Drosophila melanogaster: one gene and its partner. Changing the gene in region 1 together with any one later gene gives a genetic interaction. Each region holds a gene or a part of one and is shown on either strand. Other genes may lie near its edges.

The links.
Region 2: of Pvf1 (region 1) and Ets21C, changing one suppresses a phenotype caused by changing the other (phenotypic suppression), as found in Drosophila melanogaster (one study listed by BioGRID).

The regions. Positions count from the first base shown.
Region 1 is NC_004354.4:18,830,768-18,835,710, reverse strand, and holds the start of Pvf1 (PDGF- and VEGF-related factor 1), read right to left. Parts: upstream 3,030-4,943; 5' UTR 2,765-3,029; intron 1-2,764. Other genes in the region: CG7101 (uncharacterized protein), read right to left, coding at 3,911-4,488, 4,568-4,943.
Region 2 is NT_033779.5:549,405-554,454, reverse strand, and holds the start of Ets21C (Ets at 21C), read left to right. Parts: upstream 1-2,000; 5' UTR 2,001-2,597; coding exon 2,598-3,297; intron 3,298-4,952; exon of another isoform or gene 4,953-5,050. Other genes in the region: rempA (reduced mechanoreceptor potential A), read left to right, coding at 1-119, 181-518.

The DNA of each region.
Region 1 (4,943 bases):
AAAGTGATCCTGGTTTCGTGCAGTGTATGAGGGCAAGACGAAGAAAAGCAAAGTGAGAAGTGGTGCAAAAAACAACACAGGAAAGGAGATAGCAGAATGGGTAAGAGGGGTGTGGAAAGGGGTGGGGAAGGAGAGCAAGATCGGATGGTGTTAAAAATAGCTTTAAGCTCGCCTTGTAACGGTACTCCTCGGGAGTTTCAATTTGTGTGTATGTTTCTGCACTTGCGTTTTAGGTGCAATGGGTGCACAAGTGTTTATTTGTGGGCTGCAATCAACACACACACACGCACACGGAATTCAGCTATCATTGTTTTCCTTTCTGTTTTCCTTACATTTCTTGGCTCTTTTTAACAGTTAAGCAAATACCGATTGATATGACAGACCAAACGTTGTTATTCTTTTCATCGCTCTCCCTCCCTCTCTCTTTCTCTGTTGCCAGGTGTCACGCACACCTGTGTGATTCATCTTGACATTCCTCTGTGCCGTCTTGTTGTTGTTGCTCTGTTTTTATTTTTTTTTTTGGCGGCTGCTGCACAAGCTTTGTGTGGAGTAACAGCTGTTAGCTTAACAGTTTCGGAATAATTTTCAATTGGAATTAAAAAGATATCAAGTAATTTACTAATCTATCTGCAAAGAATTTCAATAGATCTTACAAACTGAAAACAAGATTCAAAATATAATGCAGATTCTTAAAACCTCTATAGGATGTTCGTTCGACGGGTGGGCCGCTGGTGATTGCACAACCTGTCACATCGAAGGTCTCTTTAACCCGATTCAACGGTTAACTTGTGCGTCTAGTCAGTTATCAGTTATCAGTTGTTGTTGTTTTTGTTGTTGTTGCTACTGAGGCATTTCGTCAGCGCAGATATTACAGATCGACCACAGGGAGACGGATAGATGGGAGTAGTGGTAAGGGGGAAAGGCAGATTACAAAATTAAGCACGTTTTTAAATTATATATATGAATGCGAATATGTACTTATTGCGAAAGCGACAGGCTTTTGTTACTCCTCATACTGATTGCTTTTAGTACCCTGTACTAAAAAAAGGTATGCTAACTTTGGCGAAATCTGATCAGCATTTAGTTTCAAAAAACGCAATCAAGCCACTGTTTACAAGCTTTCTTTAGGAATATTAAACTTATAAGGCTATCATATGCATATATCCATGCCTCAGGTATCATATAGTCGATAGACGATACCCATATGATCTGTATTTAGTTTGCGCAGGTGTCAGCTGTATTTATTCTCACACTTTCGAGGCATTCCTTCCCGGTGCGTCACCCGAAGATATCAAATCATATCAAGTAATCTCAAGGAGGAGAAGGCGAGGAACCAAAAGGAATCATCTCGGAATCGCGATCCCCACTTGGGCGGTCCTTAATTACGCGAAGGGAGTGCCTCCCGCCAGGCAATTGCTCCCCGCACAAGAATTCCAATACAAAAGGAAGACTCAAGCGTTAATGATAAGACCGCGGGCGCGGCGCGGGCGGAGGCGTGGCAGATCAGGGAACAGGCCCATAGCTTGTCTTCCCGTCTGGTCATTCGCTCAGGCAAATCAATTACAATATAGACATGATAATAACTCCACTGCATCCATGGGCCCATGTAGACGGGGGAGCAGTAGAGCAAACAACAAACAAGAAAACACAAAACTTGGACCAACAGGAGGGCAATGGGCAATGGACAATGGGCAGTGGGTTCTACAAGCTCTACAAGATAAATTATGGATTTGCTCCCAAAGGGCTCCCAAAGGGATCGGGTCAACGGCGACGTCTGGAATGCGAGTCTAAGATTAACCGATTTCAACTTTTGGAAGGCGGAAATATGAACAAGTTTTTAAAAAACTAGGGCATATCTAAAATAATTGTTTTCTTTTTTAAGTTTAGTGAAGGTGTCACTTGCTCAAGGTATAGTTTCCTTTCTAGGATATCAAAGTTCTCCAGTTGTTTCATACAATATACGTTATAATTAGAAACGTTTACTATAATATTTTAATATTCATCACATAATATATAATGTGTGACTTTTGTGAGCAAACATTATCATTAAACGTGTTTTCTTTTAATGAAAACCCGCAAATGTGCATTTCAAAATAAATTATTTCTTAAAAATGGCATTTTTGTTCTAAAATGTTATAAATTAAAAAAAAAAAAAAAAAAACAGGAACTTTGAACACATTGCCAGCATTAGTTTATTGAACTTTATTGACGATTTATCCGCAATAACTCGATCATAAACAACTTGATATATTGCAGTTTAAGGCAGCGACTACATTTAAGCCAAGTTCACTTTCATTTGTGATTCACAAATCTTATATTCGCACGCGATTTGACGTAGTTTGATTTGAATAACGATTAAGCCCGGCTTAGACTTTGTTTTTAGGAATTCAAGCGCAACATTTTCACTGGGTTTTCCACACAGCCACTGGAATAACTCAACAGCCAGATCAAAAAACGTTAATTGCAATTGTACTTTTTTGTTTTGTTTGGTTTTTTTTTTTTTTGCATTTGTTAATGATAAAATGGTGTTCTGGTTTTGCTCGAAAGCTATTGGGGAAAAAAAACATATATATAACAAAAGGCTGTGCGCTGTGGAGAGCTTTTTAAAAGGCCCGGCTTTAGTGGGGCAGAAGTGGAAAACCATATAAACAATAACAAAAAGCAGTTTCAGTTTAAATGTTAGATGTAGTCGAGGGTCGCTGGCTTGTTTGTTTACGCTGCTGATTTGTGTTGAAATGTTGAAATTTTGAGAAGCACCACTTACTTTATGGAAACACGGCTTGAAAATTCTAAATATTATGTTTTACACGAAGTTCAATGGCACAAATCGGTTAGCACGAAACGAAAAACAAACAACAAAAAATATGTGTGCACAAATGGGGGGTTTTGTATTTAATAATTTGTGATATATATTTGAGCGCGTTTAAGTTTGTGGTGTTAGCCTCGCGGAGATCGGCGGAGCTGCGATCCAAGCACCAGCAAGTTCCGTTCAAAACTGTCGACTCGTCGGTGTGGGCCAAGTTACTGCGCCCCTATCACCACAGTCGCCAATAACAATAGCAGTAGCAGTAACTGTTGCAGTAACAGTAACAGTACCCAGCTGTCGCAGCATTGCGCTCTCCGCTCTGTACCGCAACACTCACATCCAATCCGAACCGAACCGCTCCGCTCATTACTCTCCCGATCTTGGGGCCTGGAGCGGAGCGGATGGGTTTCACTGTTAACAGTTAACGCTGGGAGAGCGCGATCTCGACTTACGCACACCCTCGCTCAGGAGGCTCGCTGAGATTTTAAATTTAAATATATATAGAGCAACATGAACAATACATATGTTACATTCTATTATCTGTCTATTGGTGGAAATGGAGTATATTATCTGATTAATCAGTGTTGTGGTGATGATAAATATTACTCATAAAGCTGCACTATTTCATCGTTATTTTCAAAGTATTCATTTTAGTGTGACATTTTACATTATGTTAACACTACGCAGCAATAATCTGTAAACTTTCTTTAGGCAATCTTTCATTCTTTCAAACTTTCCTTAGAAAATATTTCAATTGTGCCCGTTTCTATTAACCTGACTTCATGTATTGATATTTTTTTATTCATATAAGTACATTGTCTTTCAGCCATCTGCTTGCTATATTAAAGTAACTATTCGCTTATGTCTATAGTTCCTAAGATGTAAATGTAAATCGTCTCATAAGCATTAATTTTACAGCAAAAAATAAAATACGATTTTAAATTCAAGTTCGTTTGGAAAAACATTTCCGATGACTAGGATATAAATTCAAAATATTAACGCTATTAAAACGTTACATTTATCCATTGCTTAAGTATATATTAATCGTAGTTCTGGACGTGAGATGTCGCTCAGGTATCTACGATTCCGGCTAGGTTGACTGCCCTACGGATGTTCCTCACACACATGCCGTTCGAGATCGATGGCCCGGAAGAAGGGCCGCACGCAGAATTCACAGGTGTAAGTGCCGTGTCCATGGCCGCGATCCGTCTTTATGTGATCGGTGAGGTGGCACCGCTGGGTGAATCTCTTTCCGCACGTGGGACACAGATGCGGTCGGTGGTCCAGGTGCAGACTGTTAACGTGCTTCTTTAGGTGATCAGCAGTGGCGAAGTCCGCCTGGCAAATACCGCACACATGACCGCGCAAGAGGATGTGAACACGTTGCAGATGGGACCGCAGGGCTTCTCGGCTGCCATGGCTCTTGCCACAGTAGCAGCAGTCCAGGGCACTGCGTTCGTGAACCTGCTCCAGGTGCCGCACCAGGCTCAGACTGCCGGGGAATCCGTTGGCGCAGAAGGGACACACGAAAACGCTCGGCTTAGCGTTCACAATGCACGACTCCTTGTCCAGGTCGGTGGGCCAGCCAAAGGTGAGATCGTCGTCCCAGTCGATGCTGGGCAGTATGTTCTCAATGTTCTCCTCTAGCATCTCAAGATCCTCCATTTCATCAACCTGGCTGTCTGCAGGGATCGGATTGAATAGTATTATTAAGCAGGGTATGCCATTAACATCACAACTACTCGTAAGCAGAATACCTACCTGCATCACTGGCCGTGGACTTCAGGGTACGCAGGCGATGCACCTCCTCGGCGTGCTCCTGCAGCTCCAGCATCCCGCTAAAGGTCTTAACGTCGTTGCAGTTGTCCGTGCACATGTCGCAGTAGAACAGCGACTGCTGGCCGTGCCAACTGGCAACATGACGGTAAAGAAACGTGGCTGACGCGTACTTCTTGCCGCACTGCAGGCACAGGAACTGGCCATCGTTGTGCTTTCGCTCCCGATGCCGCTCCAGCCGGGCCTCCTCGCCGAAAAGCGTCAGGCAGTGGGGGCAGACGAAAAGACGCCTCACCCTGACGGAGCACTGCTGCTCGTGCCGCTTGGCGGCCAGATGACGAGAGAACTCCGCAAAACAAAC
Region 2 (5,050 bases), on another chromosome or scaffold:
GCACGTCTACAACAATCTGCAGCGCACGGTCGCGGATGTTAAGGCAATTCTGGAGATCCAGCAGGCGTTGCGCGAGGGGGATCACCAGCTGGTCATTGGCTCCTGCCGCAGCATGCTGAGTAAGTCGCTGGCCTAGAGTGTACTCAGCTTCCATTAATAACCTTTTGTTTTCACATTAAGTTAAACCCGAACTGCCGCCCATACGCCACGCCCATATCTTGGCCATGCTAATCCGAGCCCTGGTCTACGTCAAGGACTATTCTGAGGCGGGCAGAGCTTTGAAGGAGCTGACCGTGAAGGACAGCACGTGGAGTGCCTCGGGACTCTTGGATCGCAGCATCGTTCACAAAATTGCGCAGGAGTGCCACTTGGAGTTCGATCTCATCTGGAATGCGGGACGCCAGGTGACCGCCTCCACAAGCGGTACGGCCGCCACTGGAATGAGCAGCACTTCTGGGATGACGACTACTGATGATGACGACGCCGATGACGAGGAGATCACCGAGGAGCTGCATTAGATGATTCAATTAATAGGCGATGCAGCACCTAGTCACGTCCCAGTTCCGCAGAGCGGATAACAAGTAAATAGGCAAAAGAGTTCCCTTTAAATTGGATAAGCAATGGCTACAATGGAATGTTTCAACCAGCAGATACTAAGTTATGCTAAGATATTAAGTATTAATGATCATAAACGAAAGTATATACAATGACAGAAATCGTGGAAAGCATCTTAAAGTTCTCAATCAAAACGAACAAGTTACGTATTTGTATAACTTGTATTTGTATTTCACAAGACTGCTTAAATTTCTGCTTATATTGTATACAAATCCCTTGCTTGGGCCATTTGGAATTTTATGAATGAACTTCACGATGTACGCAAGCCTAGTAAAAGCTTTCGGTGCTGAAACATACATATGTATATGTATGTAGGTATATGACTTGGATGTGAGTTCAAGTGACCGACGTCACATCAAAGCAAATATAAACAGCGATACGGATTCGGATCGGCGGATCTGCCGGCGCCAGTCGGAAAGCAAAAGAGAGCGGCCATCCGTGAATCACTTGCCCAAAAGCGTCCGCGTCCTCAGCTATGTATGAAATCAGAGGCATTTCCAGGAAGCCAGCGAAACTCGGAACAATCGAAAGAGCAATCAGTTGGCGAACTGATATAAACTAAATCGAAAACGTCACCGACGTCAAGCAATTGGATATTTAGATCCCAAATATAATTACCATATATGGATATGGAATGGTTTAGTTTTATAAATACTGACCCTTAACTGGAACTTGTCACGAAGTAAAATGCGCACAAGGATGAACTGCGGATAGGAGGCTTGTAGAGAAAACCATGTATCACTCGATTATGACATAACTATTTATTATTTATATTTATATCTTCTATCTATATATATCTTATATCATTCTGGGAGCGACCTTTTGCCAAATATCGGAACAGAGATAAACTGATATTCCAAGTAGGCATGGCATGGACCACAGACAACTAACGACTCATGCCCGATTTCCCAGAAGAATGACGCGGCAAAGGCAACAAGACAACAAATCCAAATAGGAGGGGAATCGATGAATGAATGAATTTTCGTTGGCCCCCAAACGACCTTCCACCCGAGCCACCCCCTGTGGCCCACACACAAGGCTGGGGAACTCCGTCGGCTTCCCGCCGATCGACGATCGCTGTGCTCAATGGACGGGTGACTCATACGGACTAGGCCAGTTTCACGACGTCATGCTTAAGGTTGTTATTTGCTTTGCGAGCGAGCGATAAGTGGGCACTGCGGAGAGCGAAAGCTCGCGAGCCGAGTGGCAAACGCCGCCGGCAAACTGGTCCCGAGCAGCCAGTGCCCCTCGAAGTCAGCCGGTTGGTCATGGGGCAGCCGAGTCGGCGAGAGAGCGCCAAGTGGAAAGCTCATGGGAGCCGACTTCGTCATGGCTTTATCACTGTTCGCCGGCGCTGATCATTAGTTCGTCACTCGCCAAGTGGGTCGGATCAGGGCCAGAGCGATCGAAGATCGGCGATCTGGAGTGGAATACGGCGCTACTCTTAACCCGATCGGCGGATCTGTAATCGGTCGATGCAATAACGGTTATTAAACGTTTCCAATCGCAAACTTTCCGCGAAAGATTTCCGCGATTTGCGGCACGTGGAAAGCCTGCCGCTGACTCCACTTGTCCGGTCAGCAGGTGAAATACCCTGACTATCTCGGGTGAATCATCCAGCCAGACGAACACACATCCTAAATCCGTTTCAACCGGTTGCAGGCTACCAATAAACGCAATAATGCGAAAGTGTGATTCCTAGAATATTATGATTAAACAGGGCCAAAGTGAAGTGAATATTCTAGTAGTGCAAAAGGGCGCCAAAAACATAAACAATAAAGTGTAATTAAGTGCACTTACCAAAAATCAAGCTGGTATAATGAAATCTTAGTGAAAATCAAACAATAAGCAAATATAGATTAGATGAATTTATATGCCAACCGAATAATGTCAAAGAAAAGTGAAACGGTAAAGCTACCAAAAGTCTTTAGCTAATAGCTGATATTGCACTTTCGAAGTGGGAGCAGGAACATCCCAGCTTAATGGCCATTCTACAGAATAGCCGCCAGAGCCACAAGCAACTCCCAATCATCAGCCAGACGATTCGCAGTGCTTGGTGCCAACAGAGGCCGATTAATGCCATGCATCAGGATGTCCGGCAAAAAAGCATCGGATCCGGAAACGAGACCAAACTGGAAGCGAAGGAGACGGAAGTTCCCACCAACAGAAGAAGACGCAGAAGGCGTTGCAGCAGTAGCTCCACCAGCGACTCAAGCGCATCCTCATATTCCTCAACAGACTCGGATTCCGGGTCCTCCACCAGCAGCAGTAGCATAAGAAGCCAATTACCCGCCCTCAACTTGCCAGTGCCCCTCCCGCTGGCGACACCCACTCCGCCCGCCGTTTCATCGCCTCACCAGGCGCCATCTCCTCGAAGGAACTCCAGCGACTCCAACCGGAGCGTCTCTCCCGTGGAGGTGCCCGTGGATCCGCACGCTTGGACGCCCGAGGACATTGCCAGCTGGGTGAGATGGGCGACGCGCAAGTTCAAACTGGACCCGGAGCCGGATATCGACAGGTTTCCCAAGGATGCCCAGGAGCTGTGCGATCTGTCTCGCGCGGACTTCTGGGTCTGTGCAGGATCAAGGCGCGGAGGCATGCTCCTGGCGCAGCACTTCGCGATCAGCTTATACCACGCCACCGGACGGGAGACGAGTCCGATGCTCAACGACGACGAACCAAGTGAGTGCCTAAGATAGAGCTTATTTGAAGAGGGATTTCAAATCCTAGCCTATGTCCTCTTATGGCTTAGTCTTTGAATTCCTATTTCTGAAGTGCCAACCCTTCCAGAATCGAGTAAAACTACTTAAACGGAGCCACATTTTTCTCACTGTCCCAAGCTAATCTCGGGCCACATAAATCTGCAGAGTCCAGAGATTGAACTGCTTGGTAATTGGGTTCACGTGCTATTCCCAGCGGAGCGATTGTCCGACTCTCGAATCCTTTGTGGTCAGGCATCAATTGAATCCTTTTGCCTCCGTCGCCGGCCAAATGGCCACTGATTAAGATGCCTTCGTGCTGATACGGCTGTAACTTATGTGCTCCATTGATTGTTTCTCCCACACTTCTCCGGATGTCTTGATAAGGAGGAAAAGTGGCCGAAGGTGCGGGAAATCCCCTTTTAATTACCTTTCGCTCGAGTTGGCCAACTTTCTCCGAGACTCCATTAACGTAAGTCGTTGGGAAAATCTCTGCGCGACAGCAGCAAAGTATGCAACACTTTTCCAGTTATTAACTGGCGATGACTGCCAACGCAAAGGCGATGGGCGTTGGGGGGGGATGGGGGGGGGGCGTGTCAGGGCCTTGTGGGTGGTCGCGTCAAGTGATGAACTTAATAATAAACGATGTAAATATGATAATTTCTCGCAGGATGTGGCATCTAATAATAAAATCAAAATAATCCCACGCCAGCGACAAAAGTCGCCGAGTCAAGTTTCAGCTTGGCGGAAAAAGTGGGCTGAAGGTCGGGTGGTTTGGATGGCTTGGATAGCTGAGATGGGTTGGGTGGTTTGTCCGTGACAACAGCTCTGCGGGTGGTCAGCTTTTGGGCACAGGAAAATATTCATTCGTCGCATCCTTCCTGTGGCAGGAAGAGCAAGTGCAGGGCGGGCAAAGCCCCCTGATTCGGGTCTGGCATATGCTGGTGGATGGGTGTTCCATGGACTACACATACATGCCTTGATCCCGGGAGCAGGCGACGTCGATTTAATTGATTTGTTTTTTATGCCAACCAGGATTACGCGTCGTCGCCGTCACGCAGATTACATTTGTTGTGGGCTACGGTTGTGGCTCCCATGTCTGAGTCACCGCCCCCTTTACAGGGTACAAACTGGATCAAAGCCATTCCCTGTTCACAATGCCACAGCCACCAATAGTACGTACCTTGAGGAACATACCAATGAAACCATTAGTCATATGATTTCCCAAAAACTCGGATATATTTCCCCACGCAAACAGAATACTTTTCTGGTTCCATCATCCATCGGACGCGCCCCTGCCACCTTATAATATATCCAGCCACTCGCAACTGGGTATGCATTAGTCGAAACGCTGCAAAAGAACAAGTTGCTTATCGTGTGCGAAGGGGTGGGTGCTGGTTGAGTGGCTGCACGTGGCCTCTGACTTTGCGACTTCCCTGGCAAATGCCGAAGCGGCATTTACCACCAGCTGCGCAGGTGAGCCGTAATCGTGCCCGGAGCTTCGACTGCTTCGCGGATGCCCATGCTCCCATCCAAGATGCCAGATGCCAGGCATCCGTCCGGTGCTAAGGAGCGAAATCCGGCCAGCGCTTCTGGCTAAAGTTTCAGTCGGCGAATGGCTCTCGTCCTAAACGGTTGACGCGCTCCCGGCATAGACCTTCATTGATGGTCATAGAACAATCCAATCGGGTCAAAGGTCAATCCAACGCAGCATTCAAAGCAAACCTAAACTATAA